Oryzias latipes: one gene and its partners. The protein of the gene in region 1 interacts with the protein of each later gene in a pairwise test. Links are inferred from orthologs where the notes say so. Each region holds a gene or a part of one and is shown in the gene's direction. Other genes may lie near its edges.

The links.
Region 2: the proteins of ralgds (region 1) and rras2 interact in a two-hybrid assay, tested with the Homo sapiens proteins (2 studies listed by BioGRID and IntAct). The link is inferred for Oryzias latipes from reciprocal best matches to the Homo sapiens genes RALGDS and RRAS2.
Region 3: the proteins of ralgds (region 1) and ras-related protein Rap-1A interact in a two-hybrid assay, tested with the Homo sapiens proteins (3 studies listed by BioGRID and IntAct). The link is inferred for Oryzias latipes from reciprocal best matches to the Homo sapiens genes RALGDS and RAP1A.
Region 4: the proteins of ralgds (region 1) and kras interact in a two-hybrid assay, tested with the Homo sapiens proteins (3 studies listed by BioGRID and IntAct). The link is inferred for Oryzias latipes from reciprocal best matches to the Homo sapiens genes RALGDS and KRAS.
Region 5: the proteins of ralgds (region 1) and ras-related protein O-Krev interact in binary tests that used the Homo sapiens proteins (3 or more experiments, as listed by UniProt). The link is inferred for Oryzias latipes from reciprocal best matches to the Homo sapiens genes RALGDS and RAP1B.

What each region holds. Positions count from the first base shown.
Region 1 is NC_019867.2:33,325,298-33,331,243, forward strand, and holds part of ralgds (ral guanine nucleotide dissociation stimulator), read left to right. Parts: intron 1-707; coding exon 708-785; intron 786-2,849; coding exon 2,850-2,936; intron 2,937-3,008; coding exon 3,009-3,041; intron 3,042-3,124; coding exon 3,125-3,246; intron 3,247-3,598; coding exon 3,599-3,694; intron 3,695-3,779; coding exon 3,780-3,975; intron 3,976-5,946. UniProt on the Homo sapiens protein: Functions as a guanine nucleotide exchange factor (GEF) activating either RalA or RalB GTPases and plays an important role in intracellular transport. Interacts and acts as an effector molecule for R-Ras, H-Ras, K-Ras, and Rap.
Region 2 is NC_019861.2:19,399,138-19,404,829, forward strand, and holds part of rras2 (ras-related protein R-Ras2), read left to right. Parts: intron 1-1,586; coding exon 1,587-1,674; intron 1,675-2,511; coding exon 2,512-2,614; intron 2,615-3,983; coding exon 3,984-4,092; intron 4,093-4,643; coding exon 4,644-4,762; intron 4,763-5,301; coding exon 5,302-5,389; 3' UTR 5,390-5,692. UniProt on the Homo sapiens protein: GTP-binding protein with GTPase activity, involved in the regulation of MAPK signaling pathway and thereby controlling multiple cellular processes. Regulates craniofacial development.
Region 3 is NC_019863.2:11,455,201-11,461,146, forward strand, and holds part of ras-related protein Rap-1A, read left to right. Parts: intron 1-1,109; coding exon 1,110-1,178; intron 1,179-1,366; coding exon 1,367-1,423; intron 1,424-1,851; coding exon 1,852-1,992; intron 1,993-5,946. UniProt on the Homo sapiens protein: Counteracts the mitogenic function of Ras, at least partly because it can interact with Ras GAPs and RAF in a competitive manner. Together with ITGB1BP1, regulates KRIT1 localization to microtubules and membranes.
Region 4 is NC_019864.2:21,724,162-21,730,782, forward strand, and holds the start of kras (GTPase KRas), read left to right. Parts: upstream 1-2,467; coding exon 2,468-2,578; intron 2,579-3,821; coding exon 3,822-4,000; intron 4,001-4,223; coding exon 4,224-4,383; intron 4,384-6,131; coding exon 6,132-6,251; 3' UTR 6,252-6,256; intron 6,257-6,621. UniProt on the Homo sapiens protein: Ras proteins bind GDP/GTP and possess intrinsic GTPase activity. Plays an important role in the regulation of cell proliferation.
Region 5 is NC_019865.2:21,778,778-21,785,456, reverse strand, and holds the start of ras-related protein O-Krev, read left to right. Parts: upstream 1-2,574; 5' UTR 2,575-2,800; intron 2,801-4,194; 5' UTR 4,195-4,339; intron 4,340-6,156; 5' UTR 6,157-6,187; coding exon 6,188-6,244; intron 6,245-6,679. UniProt on the Homo sapiens protein: GTP-binding protein that possesses intrinsic GTPase activity. Contributes to the polarizing activity of KRIT1 and CDH5 in the establishment and maintenance of correct endothelial cell polarity and vascular lumen.

The sequences.
Region 1 (5,946 bases):
TGTGGTCTTCTGCTGCTGTCGTCCATCTGCCTCCAGGTTGGACGTGTTGTTCTTTCAGAGATGCTATTCTGCAGACCTCGGTTGGAACCAGTGGTTCTTTGAGTTCCTGTTGTCTTTCTATCAGCTGGAACCAGTCTGGTCGTTCTCCTCTGACCTCTGGCATCAACAAGACATTTCTGACGACAGAACTGCTACTGTCTGGCTATTTTCTCTTTTTAGGACCATTCTTTGTAAACCCTAGAAATGGTTGTGGGTGAAAATCGCAGTAGATCAGCAGTTTCTGAAATCCTCAGACCAGCCCGTCTGGCACCAACAACCACATTCAAAGTCATTTCAATCACCTCGTTCTGATGCTTGCTTTGAACTGGAGCAGATCGTCTGGACCATGTCTACATGAATACATGCTGCCGGGTGATTGGCTGATAAGAAATTTGTGATAACGAGCAGTTGGACAGGTGTGTCTAATAAAGTGTCCAGTGAGTGTAGAGCTAAATGTTCTGCCTTTTCTTTTTCGAAAATATCTTGATTCTCTTTGTTTTGTATGACTGTATGAATGACAAACGCTGTGGGACTCTTATGAGAGCGGATATGTCTTTCAATGTTTTATAGCGTTGATCTTGATCCCCCACATCTAATACCACAATTTGATTGTTAACTGTTCTTCCATGAGTGTTTTTAGTAAGTGCAAATGGGATTTTTTCTTGTAGGAAGGAACCTCCAAATTTGCAACTTTAGAAATCAACCCCAAACGAGCACAGAGGAGACACCAGCAGCAGAGAGACCTGGTAAGGTGGATGGGTGGAGGTCAGTGTCCTGCCTGCTTTGTTCTCAGAACTATTGAAGATTGTTTCCTACAGCACCATCTTCATGCAGCCCTTGCAGTTATTTTTTAGTTTTTCTGAAGCAGTCTGCTGACCTTTATCTGTAAGTATCTGTTGAAAATACTAGTTGTCATCCAGCACCACCAGTAGGCCACACCCACTATCAGCTCAATAGTGAGCACCTGTGAGACTCAGCCAGGAACTTACTTAACTCAGCCAGCTTGCATTCCCTTCCCCCTCCAACCTCTACCAGGAGAAGAAGCAGTCCCAGCCAAATGCTACCACAGATCAGTCCACGTCCAGCTAAGTGGATGCATCATAGACGCAAAATCATCCACAACTCATCAGCTCAATTCAAATAAATAAGATGCCTGTGGAGTTTTGGGAGTTCAGTGTTTGAATATGCATCCCAGTTATTTTCTATTTTTTCTGAAGCAGTCTGCTAACCTTTATCTGTATGTATCTGTATATGATAAAGACGAAAAATTTGCACTAAAGTATAAGTCACATTTGGTTGACATTAGTTTAACAAAACACAGGAGCAAGAACGGACAATTACTGTATTTTCCCGACTATAAACCGCTATTTTTGTCACGAACCTTCGACCCTGCGGCTTATTCAATGATGCGGCTAATTTATGATTTTATTTATTGGCCACCAGGAGCGCTTCGGCAGTCTCAGAGGGGAGACTGCTTGCGTAATTCTATGTCCAGCAACAAGCGTGACTGCTTTGAGAAACACTCAAGCTGCCAAACAGCATGGACCTCACTTCAGCTGTTAGACACTTAAGTCATGGTGCAATAAAAGGAACATCCATGCCCAGCCGCATCCCACAATCCTTTGGTGCCATTAGACCCAACGTGCACATGACAGCCACTAGAATATGATGCAGCTTTCAGGTTAAAAGCAATCGTTAAAAGCAGTGTGAAAAAATCCACCATCACCAACAGGTTTGGAAAAGCCGGTCTGCTGCGTGCCAGAAGTTTCCTTGACTTTTGTGGAAGGAAACTTCTGGTGGACGCGCCGTTACGCAGAGCCGCGTAGAGTGCGCATAGGCACGTGCCGCTCGCGCTTACAAGTCACTGCCACTCTCTTTTACTTGTGTGTTTTTTTAACAAGCCCTGTTATTTCCACATTGCTGCCATGTTACAGGGGAGAGCTGCTCTCGCGTTCCGCTGCAGCTCCCTGCTCCTTCTTAAACACGCACGCGGTTTCAGAACATATACATCCTCAATCTACAACACAGTCTGACGAACCGGGGGTTAGCCCCGCCTTAAACCCCTAAGACTCATGGGAAGTGGGGAATCTGAGTGTGAATTTCCACACCACAAGTGAGGGAGCTGTTAACTGAAGTGAGGTCCCTGCTGTTTGGCAGATGTGGGTGTGTTCAAATAAATAAGCTAAACTACAGGTTACTCCCCCCTCTCTGAGACTTCTGTGGTCTCAGTGACGTGCTACTTGAATTGTTACAACATGCGGCTTGTGTATGTAAAAAGTGGTTAATCCTCATTAAATTGGGAGGGTGCGGCTTGTAATCAGCTGGGTTCTATAACACAGTAATTACTGTAATGTTAAAAGTCATAACAGAATAGATGACAACAATAGACTGAATACCCGCACGCTTCATTACTGTAACACATTGATGCTTATTTAGCTTCATGAAACATAGGAGGAATCTAGTATATTGTGCCACATATGAACACTTATTCAAAAGACCATAGCAGCAAGAACGCAATTCAACTAAACCCTTTATGACTTAAAATCACTAAATCTATGGACTTCTTTGGCCTCTGCTGCTTTGGAAGAATTCCGCCAAGCCCGGCGGCGTAAAACTGAGCAGTGCTTTTTCCTTTTGCGTTACTGTCAGTAGCAAATACTCAGACACACAACTACAATGCCCTCCAGTGGTTGTTGCTAAGTCACACCTCAAGCCAATCCACGCAAAAAACTGAAACTTAAACTCCAAAAAAGACGGTAATTGTGTTCTTCTGTCCTTTCAAACTTCATCCATGTCCTGTTTGTTAACAGGGGGTAATGCAGGGGACCATTCCTTATTTGGGAACCTTCTTGACGGACTTGGTGATGATGGACACGGCCATGAAGGATTACACTGAGGTAAGGACCTGCGTTTCTTTTTATCTTAGCTTGGTCTCAGTCATTGCCTAAGTTCCTGATCTGGTTTTCCAGGGTGGTCTGATCAACTTTGAGAAGAGAAGAAAGGTGAGTAAATTTCATGGGAACTATTATTCCTTACAGAAGTGATGACAATCACTTTGAAAATGGTTCTGTTTCTGGGCTTGCAGGAATTTGAGGTGATTGCTCAGATCAAACTGCTTCAGCTGGCTTCCAACAACTACAGCTTCACTCAGGACAGCCACTTCAGAGAGTGGTTCGCCAGTGCAGAGAAGCTCAGCGAGGCAGAAAGGTCAGTTGATCAGTAGCTTGGTGGCTACTCCATCAGTACAAAAGGAGCCCAACAGTGATCAACTGTGATCCGCTAAGTTTAAGCAATAAAGAAACAAAAATAAAAAGAAGATATATTTAAAAAAAAGTCAAAGATAAATGGTCTGCTAATGTAAATCATTCTAAAATTTCTTTGGTTGAATCTTTTTTTAATCGTTTCAACACCACGGTACATAGAATGGCTGTCCTGTTCTGGTATAATCTCAGCATTAGAGACAGATAGAAATATAGTTTTATTCACCATTTTGAATGGATCTGACTGAAAAAAATGGCTTTGTGACTACATAAATTAATAATTTTCCCTCCCCCCACAGCTACATGCTGTCTTGTGAAATTGAGCCTTTGTCGGAGTCGGCCTGCAATACACTGAGAGGCAAAAAGAATGGAGGAATCATGAAGCGGTGGAGCGAGTAAATTATTTCAGGATAGTCTATCAGATTTCTGTTGCACATCACTTCACTAAAGAATTATTTCCCTCCTCCTAATATCTTTCAGCCGGCAGCTAACAGAGGCCAGCTGCAGCAGCAACAGCTCTCACTCAAAGTCCTTTGACCACTCACACTACAGGCCGTGTCACGGAGGGGATGGCGGCGATGCACTCAGCGTCACCTCAGTCAGCTCCAGTGGCTCAGACCTGGAAGACGTTCACGTCAGCTTTCTGTCAGACTCACCGGAGGGGCATGAGAGGAAGGTAAGTGGGGGTGCAAAGGGGGTCAGCAACAAAACTCAGGTAGGCTGTGGTGTTGGAACCATGCTCAACTGGTACTAAGGGGCCCAAAGTGGGCCAGGAAAATATCCCCCACACCATGCCTGAACGTTGATACAAGGCAGGATGGATCCATGCTTTCATGTTGTTGAGGCCAAATTCTGACCCTACCATCTGAATGTGGCAGCAGAAATGGAGACTCATCAGACCAGACAAAGTTTTTCCATCTTCTATGGTCCAGTTTAGGTGAGTCTGTGTGAATTGTAGCCTCAGTTTCCTGTTCTTAGCTGACAGCAGTGGTACCCGGTGTGGTCTTCTGCTGCTGTAGTCCATCTGCCTCCAGGTTGGACGTGTTGTTCTTTCAGAGATGCTCTTCTGCAGACCTCGGTTGGAACCAGTGGTTCTTTGAGTTCCTGTTGTCTTTCTATCAGCTGGAACCAGTCTGGTCATTCTTCTCTGACCTCTGACATCAACAAGACATCAATGACTTATTACAAACCTCGCATAAATATAAGAACAGAGACTAATACCTATAAACCAACTATAGAAATGTTTCTCTGCTTTGAAATTTTTCAAAAATTATTGAAAAATTATTCAATGATAAATTAGTTTATTTTATGTATAAGAATAATATTATTGATGAATGTCAATATGGTTTTAAAGAAAACAGATCAACCTTAGTGACTATCATAGATGCTGTGGAGGAAATAACTGCTTCAAGCAAAAATATGCGACTGGAATTTTTATGGACCTAAAAAGCCATTTGACCCTTTCAATCATGACATCCCACTTGGTAAATTACAAGAATATGGGATAAGAATAGCTTAAAGTCAGGTCAAAAGCTATGTAACTATTTGACAAGTTAGAAGGAGCGAAATCAGATGCTAGAATATTTGCGGTGATCAGCAATGTGCAATTCTGGGACTGTTACTATTTAATATTTACATGAATTAAAAAAAACCTTTAAGAAACATAACTTGCTAACGATACAAATATATTATTCTACAGGCAAATAAAGGGAATTTGGGAATCTGGTAAATGCAGAGCTAAATAAAATACATGGATGGATTACAACAAACTATCACTAAGATTAGACTAAACAAATGTAATTTCTTTTGGTAAATACAATTTCAATGTGGAGTTGGCAATAAAAAAAGAATGTCACTTTCAAGAGTGTAACAGAAGTTAAATTCTTGGGACTAATAGTTGACCACAAACTAAGCTGGAAGTAGCACATCAGACACACAAATTGAAGTAAAGTAAAGTAGTGGAAGGATAAAATTTTTCCTGTAATGGTAGAAGAAAAAAAGTCCAATAATAGCATAATCTCAGTATATACCAGAATATAACTTAGGATATTTGTTTTACTCCTATTTAATATTACCATTTTTTCCTTCTCTAAAGAAATTTTTGGGTAATATTTATAGACGTTCACTACATTCTCTTTTTTTTACTTCAAAAACGTGCCATCAGAATCGTATATAGTTGTTTATCTTGATCACTCAAACGCTTTTATTTTATGTATCCAATCTTGTGGCCAAACACTCCTCCGTCAATCAAGTTGCGCTTATGATGCTGAAAGTTATTCTGAAGCTAGTCCTCACGATGCTGAAGAGAAAAGTTGATTCTGAAAACGGAGCCTTTGAAAACTGATGAGAGGCAGAATAAATATTACAGATAATTACTGGTAAACCTGCGTGTGTCATTTGTAGAGCTAATGTGGCTGTAATTAATTAATATGCTGATGACACTCAACTCTACATCGCTGTGTCTCCTGATGATGAAGAGTCGGTTAACACACTCTTAAATGCATTTTAGACATTGAGTCATGGATGGCAGAGAACTTCCTACAGCTAAACCAGGACAAAACAGAGGTTTTAGCGATCGGTTCTGAAGACAAGAGAGAGATAGTTTTATCTAAACTAAAGAATTACAAAACTTTTCAGTGTGTGAGAA
Region 2 (5,692 bases), on another chromosome or scaffold:
ATAAACATTTTTAAACCATAAATAGATCTATTTGTCTGCAAGTGGATGCATCAAAATAGAGCCATCTGTGGCCTCCTTAATCACAGAAGATGCCAACGTGACAAAGCATGATTTTCATCAAAGTGGGTCTTTAAAAATTACTATACTTTTGAAGACTAAAAAAGCGTTAGTTTTTAAAAAAAAAACAAAATATTGACTTTAAAAGCCTGCTACAGCAAATGTATACTCTGCAAACCTGTCTTCACAGGATTTAAATGTTAAAATTTAGTTTTTTTTAATTAAATTCCTAAAATCTATCATTTTAATCTTTTATATTATATTTTATATATTTTATTTCTCCTCTGGAAACGGAAGAAAATCTTTTAGTAGTAAAACAATACAAATAACTTTCTTTTATAATAGTTTGTTTGGAAGTTTGATCTAGTTTGATGACAACAGTATTTTATAATGAATTCTGTTAGGTTTTGTTTCATTTTCTTTTGAGAATCTTTGACTTTACATATATATTTATATACCATTTTCCGTAAGAAAGAACTTGTAGTAGTCCTAAATTGGATCATAAATGTGGCTGTCCCCCCCCCCCTTTTTTTCTCTGATATGTTATTTACACATTAGACCAAAGTTTTAATTTACACTAAGGGCAGCATCAACTCATGTTGTTGTGCCCCCCCCCTCCTTACTTCTAGATAACACCCCATCTGCATTGTGAAAGTCAAAGTGAAATGCTGCTCATTGTTGGTCTGTAAATGTGTGTTTTGGTGTAATTGCTCGGTGTCTTGGGGTGTTGGTTTGACATTCCGGAGCACTCCCCTCTGCTGTCACCACCTAACAGGACCCTGGAGGGGAGGTTAGGGGAGGGGGGGGGGGCAAAACATGGGAAAAATCTCAAAAATGCGCGACTCCCCTGTCTTTCCTCTGCTCGCCGGCCCCACCCTTCCAGTGTGGGTTACTAGGAGACCGGGATTTACAGAATCAAAGCCATGGAGATGAAATGGAACGCCACTGTTGTAACAGAGGAAACGTCTTATTAAAGTGTTACTAACGTGAAAAACGGCCTGCTGAGAAAGACGCAGCACTGACTGGTGTGTGAGCGGAGGGGTGGAGGAGAATATTCACTTCACATTTTTTATGCAGGTGTCTGCAGACGCTGTGTTTACCTCCCGTCTGCAGAATGCCCGTAAAGGCAGAGGTCAACGGGAGGGTCTGCTAAGGACGTCTACTCCCGTTTGGGAGCAGCTCGTGCCGATCTTTCTGTAGCAAAGCAGAAATGATGAGCTGGAGTCGAGTCATTTAGATTTTTTGAATGTTTTGTTGATGAGTCATGTCATGCACAAAGAGCTGCTCACATCACAGCTGCAGGGAATGAACATCGCAGGGTGTTAAAGGTCTTCATCGGGGAAAAGAAACCTTATTACTCGCTAAAGCTAGTTTTGTCAGTTTCCTGTTGGTATAGAATACCGCTTATCCTAACCTCCAACACCCCCCCCCCCATGAATAGGCTGTAAAATGTCAGCAGGTCATAATTAGGTTTGTGTGGAAACAGACTGCCTTCAAATAATCCGTGTCTTGATGTGTCTCTCTTGCAGTCTTACTTTGTCACCGATTATGACCCAACAATTGAAGACTCTTATACTAAGCAGTGCGTGATCGACGAACGGGCGGCGCGGCTCGACAGTAAGTCCTGCTTTGACACGTCTGCAACACTGTTTGTCCTTTATGCCCATGTAGATGAAATCCACCCTTTCTGGCAACATGAGAAGTCATATGACAGCTAATAAACTGAACTGACGAGTAGTGTGGCAGAGAGAAAAACATTGCCTGAAATTGTGTTTATTTTTTTGTCCTTAAGTCCCACTCCAATCATCTTTAAACATTCATTTTTAGCCCAAATCAAAAACCTGTGTGGTTTGCTAGGACATAGTTTCTGCAAAATGACAGGAGTTAATTAGGAATTTGCCTCTGAGTTGTGGGCAGGTCAGCTGGGGTGGAGTAAGCCTGCTCCTTTCCCATCATCCATCTGTTTTTACACTCTCCTGCTAGCTTACAGCCCCCACACCCCAACCTAACATTTCCGGTGCAACCAAAATGGCAACTAATATTGGAGCTATCCAGCCGTACAGTTTTGAGGCAGAAAAACAAAGACGTACCTGGATCTATTTGTCTGCAAGTGGATGCATCAGAATAGAGCAGAGCAGAGAGCTAGTGTCACACCGATTGTACCGCCTACATCACAGCGTCATAATTTTCTCCTGATTCACAACAACTTTAATAAAGAAATACTCAAATGTAATTTTAAGCTTCATTTTCCTTAAAAATATCCTCCATTGGGAGAGAATGCTGCATAATCACGTTCAAATTACCAAAAATTCCATTTTCATGGGAGTGGGTATCTAAAAAAAATTTGGTTGTGCCAAGTCATGACTCCTGCCGACAAAGCTGACTTCTTCACTTTTTCTGTTTGTCTGTCCGTGTGTGCGTTTGTGCGCCGGTGCATGTGCTTGTGGTGCGCAGTCCTCGACACGGCTGGACAGGAAGAGTTTGGAGCCATGCGAGAACAATACATGAGGACAGGGGAGGGCTTCCTGCTCGTCTTCTCAGTGACCGACAGAGGAAGGTAGGTGACAGTTTTTTCGCCATGTGGTAACAGCCGCACACACTTGACTCGCTGTTCGCCGCTTTTCTCTATTGTACACGATGTTTACGCTTCACAGTCGCATGCTACACCCTCACTGGTTCGAAACCCCATGCTCGCTGCACTGCCACTCTCACTTGTTGCTGCTCTCGTTTCCGGACCCTGTTGTTGTTCTTGTTGTCGTTCTCCTTTGTTCTTAAGACTTCCTCTCGTACTGTGCCCTGTTTAATCCACCTTTGCTTTCGATTGAAGGCCAAAGTAGAGTCGGAAAAAGGAAAAAAAAAATCAGCTCACAAGGGGTTCTGGATTTTTTGATGCATGCAACTTAAATGTTCCATCTCTTAAAAGTTTGATCTCTTACTTGGGACTTCTTTTTTTTTTAAGTTTGTATGCACTAACAACATGGATGTATATATGTACTGAAAACACCGTCAGGCACTCACAGTTCTTTAACCTTTTGAACCCAACTCTGTCACTTGCCTTGTGTTTCAGTTCAAACTTGTTTACGCTCACACTGTGTTATTTTAAAGTAAAGATTCAGAGTGTCACGATAAATAAACTGTCCCTTTTTTCAGATCCCAGTTCGCCATGGCAACAGAGAGCGCCTTAAAAGCATGCATTCCTCCACCTGCAAATGCAGCAGATGTGCTGGCATTCTTTTATGAGGATCAGGCAGCTTTTCTGAAGGGGGAAAAGGGAGATGATCAGAACGATGTTCTTCTAGGAGCTTATGTTTAATCAAATTGTGTGATTTTTTTTTCACCAAAAAACCCAAAATTGGATTGTCTAAAGTCAATGAAGTTGGATTTACAAACAATAGTTTTTCTACGCTCTTGTTGGACCGTCTCCCGCTTCCCATCAAGTGACATTGTGTCCCTCAGCAGTGCTGGGAGCTGCATTCCCTCGTCCCCACCCACAACCCCCTCCCAGTGTTTATGTTGTAAACACTCTTTCCTTCCTCCATTTATATTAGTCAAGTCTTTCCAGATTTACTATGTGCTCAGCACGACTGGAATGCTATCCTGGGTTTGTGGTTGCATTCTGCCTCATCTCCCCACCCCCAGGCTGTCTGACATATTCTTTTTTTTTTTTTTTTTTTGCCCATCAAATCTGCATTACAGTGGGGCAGCAGTCGGGTCAATTTGCCTAACCCCCTGCCTTCGATAAACACAGTTTATGTTCCACCCCAACTGGTGACACTTAGGGCTGGGCCGCGCTTTTGCTTTCCAGTGATGACAGTGAAGACTTCATTTAGCGGCGTGGATGCATGTACCAGTGGAAAGCATTTTATGGCTTGTTTGTTTTGGAGGACCCCGCATAACGCCTGTTTTTATTTTTTATTTTTTCATAGCTTTGAAGAGATCTACAAATTTCAAAGACAAATCCTCCGAGTCAAAGACAGAGACGAGTTCCCCATGATCCTTGTAGGAAACAAAGCCGATTTGGAGATACAAAGACAAGTAAGTCTCCAAGAACTGAACTCAAATGATCTAATGACGAACAATTAAAACATATAGAAATGCACCGTGCTTTCATTTTTCCCCTCTATGTCTTGTATGGTTATCTTGCTTACAGTAGAGTCAGCCCAGCTGCAGGAAGCTATCATACAGCAGTTTGTGACTGAATAAAAGAGGAAATAGAAACTGTTGTGTCAAGAAAGCAGAGAGAGAAGATCTTGATTAAATAATGTAAATAATGAACTTTTTGGGGGAGTCTGTTGGTGCACATTAAAGCATTTTCCAGCAGTGAATCCACAGCACCTCCTAATGGTGAAAGAGGGACACTGCGGGCAAATCCTATAGAAATGGATCCAAATTTGCTTAACTAAGTTTTTTAAGCCAAATGCTATCCAGGCAAGATGGATAAAGAGAAGATATTCTTATTTTTTGCTAAACTTTCTCCATTTTAAAAGTACAGTATATTGGTTCCTGAATGCATTAGTGGAGGGGACGGGTCCTTTCCTCTCAGTTTAGGCACATATTCACGATTCTCTCGCTGTCTGTTACCTCAGGTCAACCAGGAAGAGGGTCAGAATTTGGCGAGACAGTTAAAAGTCACGTATATGGAGGCTTCAGCCAAAATCCGAATGAACGTAGACCAGGCTTTCCATGAACTGGTTAGAGTAATCAGGTAAGATTCTTACAAGTCAATCTGAAGATGAACTCTAGTTTTTTTTTGTTTATTAGTTTTCATTTTTTATAATAAAAACATGTTTCTTATCATCTATCATTACAGGTAGAATGCGCTATCCCCTCATGTAAAAAATAAAAAAATTTAAGCAATTGTTCTCATCTGCCTTTTAAACATTTTAGCTTTTTTCTAGTGAGTTTTTGTTTTTTACATTTTAAATACAGTTCATACAAAAATGATTAGAAAATGTTGAACTGCAAGAGCAGCTCCACCTGCTTCATTTAAGAATGGAGATGCCTCCAGGGAGTCTGATGTTCTAGTTTCCTGTGATGGAGCAGTCAAATTTCTATAAGAACATTTTCAGTAATTCATGTTTATGAATGTCACCCCCCACAAACAATCTAAGCTGTGTTGAAAATACACTTGGTAATCATAAAATGAGATAGGATATCTTTTGACATAAATACGGAAACAAAGTGTTTGCGGAGATGGTCGGGCTCATATGTCCTAAACGTTTTGCTCTTCCGTGACCCCTGCAGGAAATTCCAAGAACAGGATTGTCCACCCTCGCCAGAACCAACGAGAAAAGAGAAAAACAAGCGGGGCTGCCATTGTGTGATTGTCTGAATCTGCCTTATTACTGTAGAAATCATGCAGCTTCTCAACCCCCCCCCCCCAACTCTGCCTGACATCAGATCCTAAGTGGATGACTGACCGCTGCCTTCTCCACGTGCATGACTCCAGACAGCCTTTTCTGAGATACTTTGACCAGAAACTGCTGTTTCCAGGACATTGCTATGGACAACTGACAATGCCAAATTGTAACACCACTCTACCTTCAGTTGTAAGCTAATTTACAGGCGAGAGTCCTGACACTAAACATTGCCTTCTTAAAAAAATCAACCTGAAAAATTCACGTTTTGTGTTCTG
Region 3 (5,946 bases), on another chromosome or scaffold:
GCTATAGTTATCCAGTTAACATGTTTATGTGATTGTGTTGTTTTTATGAAATTTATTTTTACAATTATGTGACGAATTGTATGTGTTTAAATGAATGTGGACACGTTAGAAACGACTCCTGCAAGTAAATGGACACATGCATCTATATTCACCAAGAGGTTCTGCTGAAACTTTAGGCTTGGAAACTCTTGGTAAAAACTCTGGTACAAAAATAGTGATCGCTACATGAGCTAAGTTTTAATTTCCTAACAATAACCAGAAGGATAACCAACAAAACATTTGAAGTTTTGGCAACTTGCTGAACAGTGTTCAGAAAACAGCGCTCAAACTGAATAAACTACCATATAAAGAAAATGTTAGTTGAGGCCTTATTGATCTAGTTTAATATGTATCACAACTAATTTCTGCATGACAATACAAATATTTGGAAACAGAATGCGAGGGGGAAAAGCTCTATTAGCAAATTTGAAACTCCTTTATCCAAACAACTACTTTATCCTTTTAAAAAACCTTGTATTGATATACCTTCTTTTGTCTCTTTCTACTTTTGAGTAAAACATTCATAATCCATTTTTTAACAGTGCAATCTTTGTTGATGTATCCTTAGCAACATACAGTGAGGCAGCTTAAGAAAACATTCAGATTGTTCTGTAGTTATCATGGGACAAATGACAGGAATATTAATTGTCTAGCTGTTATTGAAATCAGGTCTTTAAAGATGACATGTGTCTAAAACTTAGAGATGCCCTACTTTAATTACTTACCAGGTGTCAGAGTGTGGCTTATCCCCTGAGCTAGTAGGATTAAGGTGCTGTCAGATGAATTTAGAACACCTATGTGTACGTTTGCTTCAGAGGACTGTGCTTTTAAGAAAGGACTGTTTATACATGATCTTTCATATTAACTTATAGTCGTACCAGACACTAAAACGCTGCTATTGTTACCAATTTGTTCCCCTTTTTTAAGGAATGTCAGCCATATATATCCCCAAGCTTCCTGATTCCAGGTCCTGACTTGTTAAAGAAATCCTTGAATTGTTGTTTGTACCAGCAGACATGGCACCTGCATGTTTGTTTGATGGTAGATTTTGTCTGTGCCTTCTCTTGCAGACAGTTCAGTTTGTGCAGGGAATCTTTGTGGAAAAATATGACCCTACAATAGAAGACTCGTACAGAAAGGTGAGTGTGTCCTCATGGGATGTAAATGCTATTAAGCTGTCTGCCGATGCTTTCTTTTAGAAAATAATCTGGTTTATCCCACTCATTTAATTCTTTACTGACTTTTAGAGTTTTCTGAATTTCATTTGAACAGTGAACAGTTTGAATTGTTGCCATATTTTCATGTTCACTTGTTTTCCTCTTTTCAGCAAGTGGAGGTAGACGGGCAGCAATGTATGCTTGAAATTCTTGATACAGCCGGCACAGTAAGTAAACCTGACCTCATTGACATCTCTGTAAATATTCCCTCTTCTTCACATACTCCTGAATGCATTTATCAAACACTTTCAGACGTCAGAAAATGTCAGAGAAAATAAACTTTCTCAAATCTTATAATCTCCTAACAAAGTGAATTTAAACATGATCCAAGTGTTGCTGTTTACCCTTTTTATTCATCTGGGTGCAGTGGGCACTAAACCTCCCCTGCTGTACTCATGCAAGATGAGCCTTTTTATTAGTACTACATAATATTTGGAGGATATATAATAGATTTTTGTTTGATCTCTTAAGTCTCAAACAAAATGTCAAATCTCAAGTTTCAAGATACCAACACAGGCAATAACCAGAGTTTATACACAATAAGGAAATTGTCAGAATTAATTCTTCCTCTTTGTTTTTTTCTTTTCAAATGTAGGAACAGTTCACAGCGATGAGAGACTTGTACATGAAAAATGGCCAAGGCTTTGCCCTCGTATACTCCATCACAGCACAGTCCACCTTCAACGACCTTCAAGACCTTAGAGAACAGATTCTTCGAGTAAAGGACACAGAGGATGTGAGTGTACTCTTCATGGGGGGTACTTGCCATACTTTTATAACTCCTCCCAATCAGCTCAAAATAACCTCCAGTATCCTGCTGACTTTGTCAGAATTAGCAGGCATTTGAAATATTTGGTATTGATTATTGTAGTGTTGTTAACATTATTTAGATACATTAATCACAAATTTACTTTGTATACCAGTTGGTTTTCTCATTATCTTATGCCGCATTTACACTGAGTGGGGGCGGCTGGTTTCAATGTTAAGTCAATGTAAACTTAGCAACAGTCGTGCAGTGGAATTCCAGCATGTTAAAAAATTTTTACCTGAACATTTGGGAATATTTATGTCACGTCAACCAATCAAGAACTCTGCTTTAAAAAAACTGGGCAGTGACGTGTTGTTGTGATCAGTCAGAAACCGACATGGTGGAGACGCTCAACGCTGCTATTTGTACTCCTCCCAAACTTCATGTTTTTTCTTATTTTTATTGATATTTGAGACAAGAATAAAAAGGTTCTTCTTTTACTTTATTCCTTCCATGGACAAATCGTCAAACTGGGCTTAGAGAAGTACAGTTGTGTCAGTCATTCAGATACAGCTCCTACATGGCGAAACTCACGTACTGAGACCTTCGTTGAATGATCTCATGAACCCAAGCTTAGGGACATGCTTGCTGGCACATTTGCAAAGCTGTCCAAAACAAATAAATCCAAGCTACTCTTTCAACATCATCCATGCCTTCCATAATGTAGCAATGAGGCACTTCAAAACGTATAGCAGTAGCTCCTTCCACATGCATATTGACCTAAAGTGAATTTCTGTGTGATTTATAAACACACTTTTTTACACACCATAAGAGCAAATTTGCTGCATGGCCAAACAGAGAGGGAGAAGGTCAATTTGATGCAAAAGCCACATTCAGTCTGAACCCAGCATAATGCTGGAGAGTGAGGCAGGAGTTGTAAATTGACTTTGAGTTTTCCAACAATGAAAACAAATGTACTCCTCTTAAGCATCAGCTCTAAATAAGATGCTTCTTATTTTTGGTTTGCTTTTTTTGTTCATTGTTCAACAAAGTACAAACCCTGATGGTCCCTTTTGAAAATATCCTCCAGTTGACTTGTGACATCTGAGTAAGCTCCTAATTTCAAATAAAGCAGAACTATGGCAATGTTATTTTTGGAAAACCAGCTGTCATCTCTGTATTTTCCAAATGTTTGTTTCAGTAGCTATCAACTAACTTTCTTCCTCCTTTTTGGAGGAGCAGATCATGCGTCAGCAGGATCTAAGATGCCCTTTTTTGGCGATCTTTGAAGGGATTGAATGTTACCGTAACCCCTACCCTTTCCTTTCCTAACTTCGTTTTCCTCTTCCCTTTTAGCCGTCAGTATAACTTTTCTCTTGGCTGAGTTTTGCTCCACTCTTTCTGTCCTCCTGGCTCCTTTCGTACCGCATCTTTGCTAGTTCTCATCTTTGTTTGTTTATTTTTTAATGGCCTCTCCAGCTCTTGCCCAGTTTTTATGGTCTTCGTTGTGGCCTCACTGTGGTCTGGCTCTCTGTTTGGGTGATTGGACTGTCAGGGATGATGTGCAAGGAAAGCTTCAGCTCATCAAAAGCACCCTAGGTTGTAAAGCTGTGGTGCTTCATTACGGTCTTTGTGGTTAACAAACCAACATTGGCCTCAAGCTAACATGTGGGCTGGAGGATCCATGGCGTGCAAGAAAGCATTTCATTTACCTTTTCTACCAAAACATGTTCTTTTCTGTTATTATTAAAAAGACTTTATTTTCAACAGTTTTGCTTGTCTGGCTGCTCTGTCAGCTTTCCACTCGGACGTGAATTGGGAATACACCTAAAACAGCTGGAACATTTGTTTTTGTCTTAGCAGGAATGCTCTACCAGAGGAATTTCTAAGCATATTTTCTTTTAATCATCTGTAAAGACCCATTGCTTATTTGGGTTTAGTCTCTAGACCATTGCAAAGTTAAAACAGATCATTCAGGTTTTATTTTTTTTATTTGCCCACACCACCATATGTGTCTCCTGACGGACGGCATTGGGAGTAAAAATAATAATAATCAGCATTAAAAATCCTTCTTCCTTTACTTCCTTCCACAGTTCTTATGTAAGAGATCCTATGACTTTGCTATTTCTGCCCGTGTCCATCATTGTATTATCTCTGTGTTTGTGAGTCACTCAGACAAAATGGCTCGTTACTCATTCTATACTTTGATGTTGTGCATTTTTGTGGGACCTCCTCCTAAATGTAAATGACATTTTAATTCAATCTAATGAAAATGGGGATTCTTTAATTACGGTAATGCTTCCTTATGTCCTGCTGACAAACCTTATTTTTCCCCCATCTCTGCATTCCTGTCTTTCCATCCTTGTTTCTTGTCCCGGCTTGGCTGAGTGCTCGTGCTTGCAGTGCACTCCATTGCTTTGCTAGCAGCCCATACAGAAGTGTTGCTCAGCAGTTCAGTGAAGGATTGTTTGGATATCAAACATCAAGCAGGCACCTCTGTAGGCTCACTGTATACACGTCTGTTTCCTGTCACGATTCTCAAATGCAGGAATGCAGAGAGAAAACTTTTCTAGAAATGTATTCTATGCTTTTTTTGTCTCAAAGACAGTAATCGCTTAACAAAAAAACAAGTGTTTTTTTAATCAACAAGACAATCCTAGATATAACTTCTGGAAGAGAAGAAGGTAATAAAGATGCGACTTTCTGAGCGTAAATTCATGTTTTTTTTCTACTGGAGGCCAACCACAAATAGATTTCTCCTGGCTGATATTTTATTGATGGCTGTTGTGCTGTAAAAGTTTCCATTAGGTAATTGTTTGTTTGTTGGAGGCCAGTGGCAAAAATGGAAACGTCTTGTGAACTGTGACAAACATTGATGCCTCGCTTCTTTTACCCCCCCTCCTCACATTTCCCAAGTAAACTAAACTGTTAAACACACAAAAATGTCACACACTGCACAATCACACACCATCATCTAATTCCACTGAGCAGCTGAAGCATGGAATACAGCTGAAATGTTGGAGAACATTCAGGAAGGAAAGCAATGTTATCCCGGCTGGGCGGGGCCGCCATGACTTCCTACGAGCCAGCATTCTCCCAAGATAGTTAGTCAGGAAACGGCAGACAGGATGAGACGCATCCCGACAACCCTCACTGCTCTGTGTTTGCAGATTGTAATAGGGAAGCCCTAAACTGGACTAAAGGTTTCCGTCCTGCTCCACCTTTTTATTTGTCCTGCTTCTTACTGTAAACGTGTTAATAAACAAAAGGAGAAGTGCTGTCTGTTTAAAGAGATCCAGTAACCACAGATCAGCACTCTGTCAGCTTTCTTTAGAAACGTCTCTATTAAAGACAAACCAAAGTTTTCTCAGCAGTTTCTGGTCATTTTTGATTAGTCAGCTGGTAATTTTACATTTTATAAGCCTTCTCTAACTGTCTGCCTTTTGTCACACCATTGGAGTTGATAGGATGGATAGAAAGCCCCTTTGCTGTCCTGGAGGAAGCATGTGGCAGATCAGTCTAAACTTGTTCAGTTTCCAGTTGCATGTAGCTACGTATGTCTTTTGGATGGCTGAAAGCTGTAAAAAAAAAAAAAAAGGTTTTCCATTTGTGTGGAATGTATGTGATTGAATGTCACGTCGACAGAATCTCATTCTAAGGTGAAAAGTTTGAACAGTGACTTGTTAGCTTTGATAAAAAGACAAGACTTGAAAGATTCTGTGCAGCAGTTTCACCTTCAAATCTTATGGAGGCCTCTTCATCACTTCATGTATTCAGCTTTCTGTCTGACATTTAAGAATGCCTAAACAAAATAGGAAAAGTTTGTGTTCTGTCCTTTGCACAGCTGGGTATGCCACTCCCTGTTTTTGTTCCATAATATTAAAATGATTGTGGAAATTTGTATTGTGATGAGTTGATTCGGGGTTAAAGCAGATATGGTTT
Region 4 (6,621 bases), on another chromosome or scaffold:
CCAGCGTATTCCAGTTATATTTAGAGCCTTTATAAGGAGGAGTCGCCCTCTACACTTTGTTGACTCTGCAGCTCCAGCTGCTGGGAGGCTGCCGGAAATCTTTGTTCTGACCCCAAATCCAGCCAGCAACGTGTGTAACCATGAAAACTATCATTATTAACACGGTTTTTGCGTGTGTCAAAATGGCAGAAAAACATAAAAAGGAAGTGAGTGAGGCTAAAGATATTTAAAGGAGACGGGGGAAAAACCCAGAACAAACCTACAGTTTCACGGCTCACCTTTCTAAAACAACAACCGTGTTCAACAAATGACATAACACAGCGCATTAAGTGTCAGGTTGCGACACAGTCGAGATATGCGGACCGGCTGAAATCTCCAGCGATGCTTTCTGGGTAAAGTGCGCCCTGGTATCCGCCCATATTCGCGTAACGCAGGCCAGAAGGAGCAGCTAGGCCGGGCGCTGGATCAGATGGAAAGTTTAATCGATTAATTTGGCAACTTCATGTTTTCGTCCGCTCCCCAAACCACGTCAGACCGACTTAAATGCCGGCATTTTGGTGAGAAGTAGGAAATGCGGAGATCGTGCGAAACGAGAGGATTATTTGCTTGACAACTTAATCGGTCGCCACTTCAGACGCGGAACTCCAGTCACTTAAAGGTAAAACAAACGGTTACCACTAATTTCATGTGCGTGTTTGTTTCCTTACTATTTTAATCAAAATTGATTCCACGTTTGAGTTGAAATACAACTAATTGAATGTGATGTGAACTCTTGTGCGACAACATTGCAGTAGGAGTGTTAAATTTGGCCCAAACTACGCCCAGTCGTTAACCTACAGTGTGGCCCTGCACTGCAGATTTATGCTAGCTTGCCTCCTTCAAAATGTGCAACCTTTTAACTTTGCATTAAATTTAACTGTTGTCCTCCAGGGTTTAGTACAAACAAGGCAAAACTAACGAGTCACTTTCATTAAAACACACTACTTTGTTTCATTAAAGCGAATAAAAACCAACTTTTGGGGCTGCTTGAAAGCTCCGGTGCTAATGCGGCTAACAGCACAGCCGTTAGTCTTATGCTAGCAGGTTTTCCTCATACGGGATAAGGATTTAATTGACATTTTAATGTAACATTTTTTTTTAATTTAGACATAACGTGGCTGTCCCGACCTGCTTCAACAAAACCAAAATACACAAAAGTTTAGTTGAAAAGCCGCGTCCGCTTCATACGGGTATCAATCTTTAACGCTAGGCTAATATTTGTATAGGTGCTAATCAATCTCCATTAATCCCATCATTGTGTTAGCGGTGAATTTGAGTGCTTTTTCTTTCCGCGTTGGGTTTGAATTAAATATACCCCTAACAAAAGATTGTACACAATTTTGTGACTTCCCAGGATGGGATTTCAGAATCCACAGCGTTTGATTTGTCTTCCTGTTCAAACACAAACCTTCAAAGGACAAACACTACTATCGACTGCTTTTGCCTCCTTTAAACTAAGGAAGAAAAATGGCATAACCCATACCCCCTCTACTTTAAATATAAAAATATAAAATAAATACAATAATTAGTTAACAAAAAAAAGCCTAATTTATTTCTTAAAAGTTTCTAAAATGAAACTTACATTTTCCTCTAATTTATAGCTAGTTTCACAAAGTTTGAACCGGCTTTAAAAACGTGGTGTTCCTACATAGCTTTCCTTTTTTTTTTTTTTGACTCTTTCAGCCACGGTAATCTTAGTTGTGGAAGCAGTATTTAGTGCATCTCTTCTATGGCTTTGAGGAGTTTGTATTGTAGTCTTTGAAAAGGCCAGCTGCCAGTATTGATAGATGCTGCTCCACAAAAGTCAGACAGCAGAGAGCCTCCCTGTTGCTTGTCAATTTTACAGCCTTAATGTAATGTCATAGATTTCTGCCTGGAGCTAGGTTCTGTTGTCTGATTATCACTCAGAAAATAGCCCTGAATGTGTTGCTGGACTCAGACCTTTGATTTGAACTGAAAAACTATCTATTTTTTACTTCTCAAAGCTCACCACCTGCTTATTTCAGGTCACTTTTCTATAGAAGTTCTGTTTTGTTTTACCTTTTTCTATAATGATGAGTTTTAATATACATGCTTAGCATTTTATGACAGCTAGTCTTTAAATTTAAGGTTCATATGTTGGTTTTGTTTAGATTAAACAACAAACTGTATTTTGTGATTGCATTTTTTCAAACTTTCTGGGACATTTGGATTTTTACTGCATTGCAGCTGTCAATTTACAGGTTTCCTTTAGCAAGAGATGATCAGATGACTGTCCCCTAAAACTGTCTGCAAATTATTAGAAGTATGAGAAAAGAAACCAAAATTGACAATAACAATGAAACCAAGTGTCATAATTTTGAGACGTGCATCATTTGCCATTAAGGGTTCCGCTGAATTGGGGATGTACTACTTGATGATGTTCTTACTTTGGTCCCTCAGGTGAATCATGACGGAATATAAGCTGGTTGTGGTTGGAGCTGGTGGTGTTGGCAAGAGCGCGCTTACCATTCAGCTCATCCAAAACCATTTTGTGGATGAATATGACCCCACCATTGAGGTAAAGGAACATTGTGTATGGATACACAAATTGACAGTGCATTAGCAATAAAACTTGTGTAAAAAAAAGAAAAAGCAAAGAGTTGTAACAGGTTCTACTAGTTTAACTATTAAAAGACACCAAACGGGTTTTCTAATGGCTTCACACTTGGCTTCTTGCACAGTTTCTTAGAGCCAACTGATTTAGTATGAACAGTTTAATTTAGAGTTCTTTTAATTTGAATTATTTTTATTGACATGCATTTTTTAGGTCAGACAAACTCCATGTTAACTCGGATAAAAAGAGCAGCGCTACTGTTCTTTTTATCCAGGTTAACATGGAGTTTGTCTGACCTAAAAAATGCATGTCAATAAAAATAATTCAAATTAAAAGAACTCTAAATTAAACTGTTCATACTAAATCACTCCATGTTAACTCCATGTTAACCTCGATAAAAAGAACAGTAGCGCTGCTCTTTTTAGCTATTTTCATCTGTGCGATTTAAAAAAAAAAAGAAAAGTGAAGCACCGAGTGGGACTTCAGTGTAACTTGAGGCCTGCTGCAAAATTGATCAGAAAGGGACAATAATTGAGTGGAGTCCAGTTTCAACTTTGAAGACACGACAAAATAATCATCAATGCAGGCCTGCTTAAGTGGTACAATTATGTTAAGATTCTAAGCTACATGACAATCATTTCAGCAGAAAAAACTATGAATTATGAAACAAAGCCATTGAGTTTCTTAAACTATGTCACATTTTTTGTATATTCAATTTTATTCACATTTAAATTCTTGGCCATTTTTTCTCCCTTCAACATAGTGAAAAGGGAAAAATTGCACTGGTGTTTTTTTTTCCTACTAAAAAGAAAAGATTTTTAGAACTTTGTAGTTACTTCCTTGTTCGCCTTTTATCCAAATTATGTCAGACCAAAACATTTTTGCCTTTTTTGTTTGTAATTTTTTTTCTTCAAATAAAATGTATTACTACTGACTGACTATTTATATCTTTATTTCACCATCTAAAATTAAAAGTGATCACTTTTGCCTAGTATTGTGAAACTACATTTGAATATACTTGTATATTTATCATCACTTCTGTTTTTTTATAAATATTTGGTGACTCCCCAGTTTGTGTACATTTTTGCAAAATGGCGAAACAATTTTTATATTCTAAAGTACTCTAAGCATAAAAACAACTTTTTTTTGTTTACTTGACTCACTTTTCTACAGAGTTCTGATCATTTGAAACTTATTTCTTGTTCAGGACTCCTACAGAAAACAGGTAGTAATTGATGGAGAGACGTGTCTGCTGGACATCCTGGACACTGCAGGTCAGGAGGAGTACAGCGCCATGAGGGATCAGTACATGAGGACAGGGGAAGGCTTCCTCTGTGTTTTTGCTATCAACAACACCAAGTCTTTTGAAGACATTCACCACTATAGGTGAGCTGAAAGACAAGCTGGCAGGCAGTAGTCTTCCAGAACTGTTGTCATTTTTTTCTTCAAAATAAAAATGTGTCCATTTGTAAGTAATTATTTTAGCACAAAAATAAAACATTCATCACCGAACAAAGGTGATCTGTGGTCTGATTTGAATCTATTTATGTGTGGAATTTGGAATAATTTGGTTGATGGTTAAACAAAGTTCATGTGTTTGACTGTCCAGAGAACAGATTAAGCGGGTGAAGGACTCTGAGGACGTCCCCATGGTGTTGGTGGGAAACAAGTGTGACCTCCCGACCCGGACGGTGGACACCAAGCAGGCTCAGGACTTGGCACGCAGCTTTGGCATTCCCTTTATTGAAACCTCTGCCAAAACCAGACAGGTAAGTCTGCCCTCGGCTCCATGCAACATGTTTTTTTTAAATAATAAAATGTTATTTCAGAAAAAAAACTAGGATATTGTAATTTAGAAAAGTGTCTTTTAAAAATTTCGAATGAATTGAAGATAAGTGATTGAATCACGTTTCTGCTGATTTGTGTCACATTCACTGTCTCTAATGGCCCTTTTTATCATAATGTTGGAGGGAAATGTCCCTGCTAATGTATTGAGCCTCATTAAATCATCTCTCTTTAATTGAATTTTTATTTATGTGAGGTAAGGTAATCACTGCATGCTGCTACGTCATGAAATGACGAATTGACATTGTCAGTTGGGCCCACCTGAAACCATCCTTGTAAATAATCTGCAAATCGGTTCAAATCAGGGGTCTGCATGAAAGGGCAAACTGTCAGTAATTTCTGAGAGGTTTGATTCTTCAGCGAGCTGGTCACTGTTTGTGGGTGTTGGAAGATTAGCTGTGGTGTTGCATCCTGTGGTGGGTGTCGTGATCGTTGCCTTTGCCATTAGATGGGCTCATGGAGTGATCTGTGAACGTGTTCATCCTGGTCTGTGAGCTGCAGCCAAACAGCACTTTTTCTGGTGTGGGGAAATGATTGGTGCCGTGACTAATTCCTGGCAGCTTTGTTCACCTATTCCCTCTTGAGTGTCCCGTACCTTTTGTTCATACGGTTTCGCTCCTGTCTGATTGCAACTTTACTTTTGTTGGGAGTCAATTGCCCCCCCCTCAAATGTTTATTTTTTTTCCTCTGACTTCTGTGGAAAATCCTGAATGCATGCACCCTTAATTTGTGTCCAGTTTGAATAAAGTGATATTCCACCCAGTTGTTAATCTCCTGCAGGCTTGGAATGTGACTCTGATTTTTAAGGAGGCGCCAACTGCAGCCTAAACACAATAACTGTGTTTATTTTACTGCTTTATCAACCAACTGCTGTCTGTTACACTGCATCATCATTCCCATATCAGTCTGTTGATCCACTTTAAGACATGATCTGTGTAGTGTTACTCAATAGGATGAAAAATAGCTGTTTTTCGGAGTGCTAAGCAATAGAATAAAGTTGTCTTTGTTGTGAGTTCATGTCAGTTCTTTATGGTATCTCTAAAACTATAAGGCCCTTCATATCAATCGTTTGATTTATTTTTGACAGCATACTTCTACTTTTGTGTGAAAAGGCAAATCCCACAGAGCTGTGGATTTTTTTTTCCCCATATTTTTTTGCCTCTAAATCAACCGATATGAACAGAGCTACACGGTTATTGCTGAGAGGAGCATCAGCCCTGCATTGCTGTTATTTATTTAGTATTATTGTTTAAATAAATTGTGTTGATTTATTTGAGTTCTCAGGACAAATGTCCATACTTTTCAACAGTTTTGGAATACAAGAAGAAATCCAATTTCCATAGTCCCTTTTACTTCAGTCATTATTTTGCTTAAGAACAGCTCTGCAGTCTCCTCTGCAAAAGCTCCAGGAATAGAAAATAGTTAGTTAATTAGGTTTTATATATTTCATTTTTTTACGTTTTATGGGGAGGAAACTAGACTCATTTCCAAGCCTGCAGAAGCTGCTGCTCAGTTTTCATCCAATCAAACTCTTTGAGTTTTTAAGAGTTTGGAGAGAAGACAAATCCGGCATTTCAGGAGTATCCCCATGTTTATCTTAAAATTTCTGACACCATGAAGAATGTGCTCCTACATTCCTCGCCATTGAGGAGAGTTGTGTCTTATACCGCAGAGAGTGGAAGATGCCTTTTACACTCTGGTACGGGAGATCAGGCAGTACCGGCTCAGTAAGCTCAGCAAGGAAGAAAAGACTCCACGCTGTGTCAACCTTAAAAAGTGTGTTGTGATGTGAGAGGGGTAAGTGTACGCAGCCGCGCACCCATCAGCTCTGTGTGTTGTTGGGGGGAACGGCGGACGAGGGATGGAGGAAGACACTGAGCCAAAGCTGGTGCTTCATGTGGTGTCAAAGCTAACCTGCTGGCTTTTATTGGGACTGTGGTGAGGTTCTAACACGAGCCTGACGTGTTTTGATTTCTTCTATTTTCAGTCTCCATGTGTTGTGGTGGATTATTGTCTAAGGTCATTTTCACACTGGGTTCATCCATCAAGTTTGGGGAAGTTTGATTTGCGCAGCTGGTGTGCTTCTGCATGGATGTCTGAACTCTTTTTCATGGGTTTCTTTTGCCTTATCCCTTCCCCATGGAGGAGCATTTGTCAGTCCT
Region 5 (6,679 bases), on another chromosome or scaffold:
TTCAGTGAAGTCAGGAACATCTTGGGATGTGGACGCTGCACCACCTCCAATACTTTTTGAGAGCAGAAGAAACTGTCGGCTGAGACGGAACTGTGCAAAACATCATCATTATGTAGAATCAAAACTGCAAAATACAAATAAGAAAAAAATTTACCCATTTATAAATAATAAATGTGAACAATAATTTGAGTATAAATGGAAATTTAAGCATTTATACACGTCTTTATCAATTATTTTGTATGTTCATGATTTTAAAATTAGTACATTTATTTTGTTTATCATTTTATGAGAACATTCATTTCCTATGTATTTGGCAGTTTTGATTCTCCATATTTCATGCCAATGCAAGATTTTAAGACACGTTCAATGTTGAAAAAGTCGGAATACCTGACCTGCTATAATAAACAGCAGTTTTTTTAATGACATAAAGCTGAAAATGCAGAACGCACTAAATATTTGTAGCAAAACAATAACCAATACGATAACGTGAGTTAAACATTTTTCAGCCACCATAATCATCATTATTTACTTTTCTCTGCTCTCAGCTGTTTTAGAAGGTCATGTCCGACCTCATCTTGGAAACTTGGGTATCAGAATTATTTTCGAGTTTTCCATTGGAAATTACGACAAAAACGGGGTCGTTAATCTTAATGTGCAATCTTCACCTCGGATCGATTAGTATTTTACGTAAATCGCGCAGCTGCACAAAAATACTGGATAATGTAAAAAATACGGCCCCAACATCCTCCAAACTTACCTTGTGACTGATGTTGAATTCTTCATCTTTTTTCAGCTCCTAATGATGGATAAAGTCACTAATGGCATGAAGTTGTCTTGTTGTCGCTTTGATCAGTGTGACAAAATGTGCTCGTTTTTTTCTTTTCCCCAACTTTATTGAAATAAAATGAGCTCGTAAATACACAGTGTGCCAGGCTCAGATGCAATGATGTTGACCAATCGCTGCTAAGAGGGGCGTAACGTCCTTATTTGGGTTGCCAGATTGGTTCAGGTGTGTTGAAGGGGGGATCACAAAAGTGCAGGCAACTTTCTCTTGCACAACATTCAGAGCGCACGCTGGTACGTAAATTCTATGAAATTGGTTGCCAGGTTTGGGTCTTTTTTGTTTATTTTTTCGCCACTTCGGGGCCCTGATAGTGACGGGGGCCCTACGCGGCTGCGTAATTCGCGTATAGGGAGGGCCGGCCATGGTTGTAATTGTGAGGGGCTGTAAGCTCGTGGGACAGAGTGTAACCAGAGATTCCATGAAATGTCAGTAGAGGGTTACTCCAGTCCAAACATTCCCACCCACAACTCAGAGGTAATGAACTGCCGCTCTACAGAAACTATGTCCAAGAAAACGACAGTTTAGAAAAAATATTTGGCTAAAAACTGAAAAATCATGGTTAAAAGACAACTGGTAACGCTTTGAAAATGAATAAAAAATAATTGCATCACTGAGCTGAAATTTCAGTTAAAAAAACGTAAAGTTTTGTGATTAGTGCAGAGCAGATCCAGAATCTTTTCATATGTTTGTCCTGAATTAAAATATTCTTTGACAGCAGCAGCTTTTTTTGGGTCAGCAGTAACATTCATATTTTTGTTTTGAGGTGCTACATGTCTAATAACTGTTAATATGATGGACATACGTCATCATCCAATCAGCTATGTCCCATAATCATCATTCATCAAATCATCATTTCTAACATTTTGTTTTCTGAAGATTACTTTTGTTTTCTAAAACATTTCATTTTGTCATTTTCAAATTTTGTTTTGATTTCTAAAACTTAATGTCTTATTATTTATTTTGCTTTTTAAATTGTCATGTTTTTGCGTTGAGTGATTTATTGATGTGATTTGAACTTTAGGGCCAGCGTAGTTAATCCTTTAACATCAAAACTGTTGCAGCGAAAATAACATTTTTTTTAACTTATTTATTTTTTGACATACAAGGTAAATATTTTACCGTTCTCGCGATCCTCTTGAATCCGCTGATTCTGACGCAGAGAAAAGCGGCATTTCTTTCTGGTTTTGCGCCGATATACGCAGCACATTACTAACGTATGGAGCCACGGCTCCACTTTTCTGCAATGCTTTTTTCTCCGCTGCGGTATCCGCTGATGTACGTTGATGACGTAAACACTTCACTACAGCACGGTGCTGCGCACATCAGCGGAAAGCTGCTTTTCTCCGCTCAAGAGTCCACTGGAATTACTTTCAATGCGTTAAAGGTGGGAAAGTTACGGTACTGGAAATACTGTAAATGCAGGAGCTAAAGCTCCGATGTTTAAGAATTTTTACAGACTTTTTTCACGATCCGCTCCAGGTGACGCCAGCACGAACCCAAACTGAACGGCTCAGATGTACATTCTCATCAACAAAAACAACCATTCTTATTCGAAGTGTGTTACACCTGCACAGACACACACATACAGGAACGAGACTTTCAGACTCGCGGAGATGATGCTTTTTCCCCACGGCCACTACAATACAGAATGTGTGGGCGCACCGGTGCGTGCGAATATGGATTTTTTTTAGGCGCACCGTTGAAAAATTTAGTCGCGACTAAATTAGCGGCAGTCTAGAGCCCTGCTGCATAGATGTAAGCACATGCGCTTTAACAGACTTCATGTCATGTGTTTGCTCCTATGTGATGATAAGAGCAGAAGGAGCCGCGCGGCTGAAGTGACCGCTCTACAGAGCGCTGCCATAATTGGCCGAGTCTGGTCCAATCAGCGGCTCCCGCTGAACCTTCCGTACATCCACAGGCTCGGAACGTTTAGCGCACACGTAGCGGAACACGGTGAGTCTCATCAGGCTTCTACTCACTGTTGAAATCAGTTATTTCGAAGTAATTAATTCAATTATGACGCAGTAGTTCAGTAAGGATACAGTAAGCAGCTATTGTATTTTAACCCGGACAACTTGTAAAGCTGCTGGTAAAGACTGGTGCTTGTTGGTAAATAGCTTAGCTGAGAGGCTAATTTAAAAGACTAAAAAGCTAACGGTTGCTAACCGCGGATTCTGACGAGTTGTTCGTGCAAACATTTATAGTGATTTAGATAAGCGAACGTTTATTTATACCTCTCATTTCTGTGTATGTATTCTGGTAACTCTAAAGGGGTTTTAAGTAAAACTTTCGGTAAAGTAGTGACACCCTGAGAGTTCAGCCCTAAGCTAACTTAGCACTCGGTGTCTGAGCGAAGTAGTTAGTGAGCCGCTATGGAACATTAACAAAGTTGTAAAATAAATTCAAGCGGTGAATTAGTGTTAATCTGTTTGTTAACTTGTTTGTCTATTGGCCACAATATCTTTAGTTTTATCGTTTCTGTAGTTCGGAGTTTAACCCTGATCTCCAGCTACGTTAGTTAGCTTATATGCTAACTTAATGCTAATACGTAAGTTGTAAGACTTTTTGTAGGTAATGTTTAAAATTTGTCTGGTAAAATGTGTGACCAGTTCGTGTTTGCGTTTACGTAAAGTCGTCAGTCGATTGGGGTAACTTTTACACGATGTTAGAGCGTTTGTTACAATGGGGAACTAATAGCCACACCCTTCCTTTCGAAACCAACTCCGCTAAAAAGTTGTCTCGAAAACAAAACAAATTTTATTAGCGGCTTTCGGTTATAAAAGATAACAGTGCGCCACGGCCTTGTCATAAACCACGATTCGTTAAGAAAAAGTCGTGTTGAAGAAAGTTTTTGTCAAGTTTCGAACCAGGCGCCTTCCTGTTCATTTGAGTCGAGGTAAAACGCAGTTACAGCGTCCGGGGATGACACATGATACCTGCTGTATATTGAACTGAAGGGGTTGAGTCACCTACTTAGCTTCACTGCCATTCAACCCTAGCCAAATGTATGCATTTATGTGTTTTGTGTTTCTACAGGTTAGAAGTTGGGTTAAAACTAGATTATTTGCATTTTAATGCTGTTATCTAACTTTTGTTTTTCATGACGCCGTAGTTGTCATCAAGAGATGTTGACCTTCTGTTGGACTGTCTTGCTTTTTGTATTGATCTGTAAAACACCTTTACAGTCCTTTTAGTTTTAAGTTCCTTTGTGGAAGGAGATTTAAGGTCTTTTTGCACTAAAGTGACAGTCACAGATGTGATTGACTTTTTACACTATAATAGGATGGATGCAATCTGTAATCATTTATATGTACTCCTGACATAAATCTTCTCTTGATTTTCTTTAGGACTAGTTTGAGCACTTTTTTTTTGGTGTTTTCTGGTTCCCCATTGATCCTCATTCCCTCTGGAGCGGTTGACATAATTGTACCCGAGGACCTGCTGACCCCTTATCCCCAGATGTAGAGGGACTTATCGACATATCTGTGAACAGTAGGTCATTTTATTTATTTATTACTATATTTAAAAAAAAAATTAAGTGATGTCTTTCATCTATTCCTTCATTTTTGAAGTATTCATTAGCTGCTAACAAAAACGAGGAAGCGTTTTAATTTTCATAGCCCTAAGTGGGACGAATAAATGAAGTGCTTGTTACTTCAGCTGTTTGAGTCCAGCCTCAAATCTTGTCAGAGGAAGGCTTATGCTGCTTATCTGATGTGAAAGGCTTTGAGGCAAAGGCTGTGACACCCACACAAATTTACATCTTAAACGGAGTGATTTTTTTTCCTCCCCTCTTCATGCATTCACTTCTAAGCTAACAAGCACATCAGGCGCATGCTGGCGTCACCTCGAGGTACGCCCCCTCACCCCAGTAATGACATTGGCGCAGTGGGCATGCATGCTTTCTCTGATCTCCTTTCTGTGTTTGTATGTACTTGAGTAAAGGATGGTCATCACAATGGCTCTTTGTGTGTGTCTGTTTCTCACTGCGGGTTTCTGTTTGTCCTTCATACATCAGAGTTAGAATTGCTAATGTCGGCCGACTGTGACAGAGAGCTGTATGTAGCGCCTGTCTCAATGTTCGACAAAGATCACAGCAGACCTGCATCAGGTTCAGATTCAAAAATGTACTTTGATGCTTTACTGTAGATGTTCTCTGACATGGTAAATAAAGAAATACTTTTTATATGTATCATGATGTTTTAATTAAATTTGATGAACAAAAACCTTTTTTTCCATATTTGTGATTGATTTATTGTTTTTTCTTCTTCATGGAATTAGGGTTGTTTTTTGTTTTTTTTAAATCAATTCATTTTTTAAGTCAAAATAGATGTGAAAGATAAATAAATCATTTAATTTTATAACTTAATGTCATTATCATGATATAATTACTATTTTTGAGTTTTCTTTTTTTGATTTTCGGAAAAAAACAGAGTATTTGAGATTCACAATCCTTCCATGTCTCTTGATTTTCTTTAGGACTACCGTAGTTTGAGCACTTTTTTTGGCTCCCCATCGACCCTCAGTCTCTCTGGAGCGGTTGTCATATTGTACCTGAGAATCTGTTGACCCCTAATCCCCAGATGTAGAGGGACTTATCAACATAAATCGGTTTTGTCATCTGGATTCTCAAATTACTAGATTACTGCTGTAATTCATAAGTCATAATTCAAAATGTATCTTTGGTTCTTCCTGCTGTGTGGACTAAAGGTTTTCCTAAATTGGGATCCAGCTGATTGATTTGAGAAAATGCCTATTTTTGTGTGAAGCGTGTCACACTTGAACATTCTCCTGCTAATTAATTCCAGGCCGTGTGTGCGATCTGAAAGTGTGTTGAGCTGATGAAGCTGATGATAGGTCACTCTTGGTGGCCTTTTTCCCCTGTATTGTAATGAGGTGAAGTTATTTGGAGCTCTGGAACACTGACGCACTAGCTTCAGCTTTTATTCCACAGTTTAGAGGCCAAGTGTTAAAACCGGCTTGTTTTCTTACTTTATTCACTTAATGGTCTTGAGATTTTGAAAGACTTTTTTTAAAATTGCTATTCACTCTTTTTTTTCCCCAATGATTGATTGATCATTATTTGTTTATATCTCCATTAAGTAACTCAGTCTATTATTTTGGATAAATATCTTTAGGATTAGGTGGGAAACCTAATTTGACAGAGTGAAGTTCTGAAAATATTTTTCCATTTTCTTTCTGTGCCCTCATTCTGAACAAAGATGGCACATTTGAATGATGAAAGACGTTGTTTTCTGTAGTAGAAAACTCTGTTCTCAGTTCCTCATCCTTCCTCCATTCTTTCTCAGACTCTTGTGCGGTCCGGTGAAGTTGCCCACCATGCGTGAATACAAGCTGGTTGTGCTGGGATCAGGAGGCGTGGGAAAATCTGCACTGGTGAGTTCATACCATCAAGCATTTTAGGCTTTCGTGGAACGCAGACGTATTTTCAAAATATTTATAGCATTTTGTGTTTGTGTAGCATCAAACAGGACAAATTGCAAATTGAGTAAAAAGAAGCATTACTTTTTCTGAACCCAAGGATCGGCTGATAATTTATATTTCTGGAGCCTTTAATCCAAAATTCATAATAAAATGTATCACTTCCTGACTGAAACTCCATCATTTTCCTTGTCATGGCTTCAATGTTATTGCTGATTCATGGAAAAGGTGAAGGATTTTTCTCTGTCTTATCAGTTTTCTCTTGTGGTAGCTTTAAAGGCACTGGGTAATATTAAAGTGACAAGTCTTTTAACTATTCAAACTGTAGAAATGTAACCTTTTTGTGCAACTCGTGCAAACCTTAAAGGGAAAATATGTACGTGACATAAT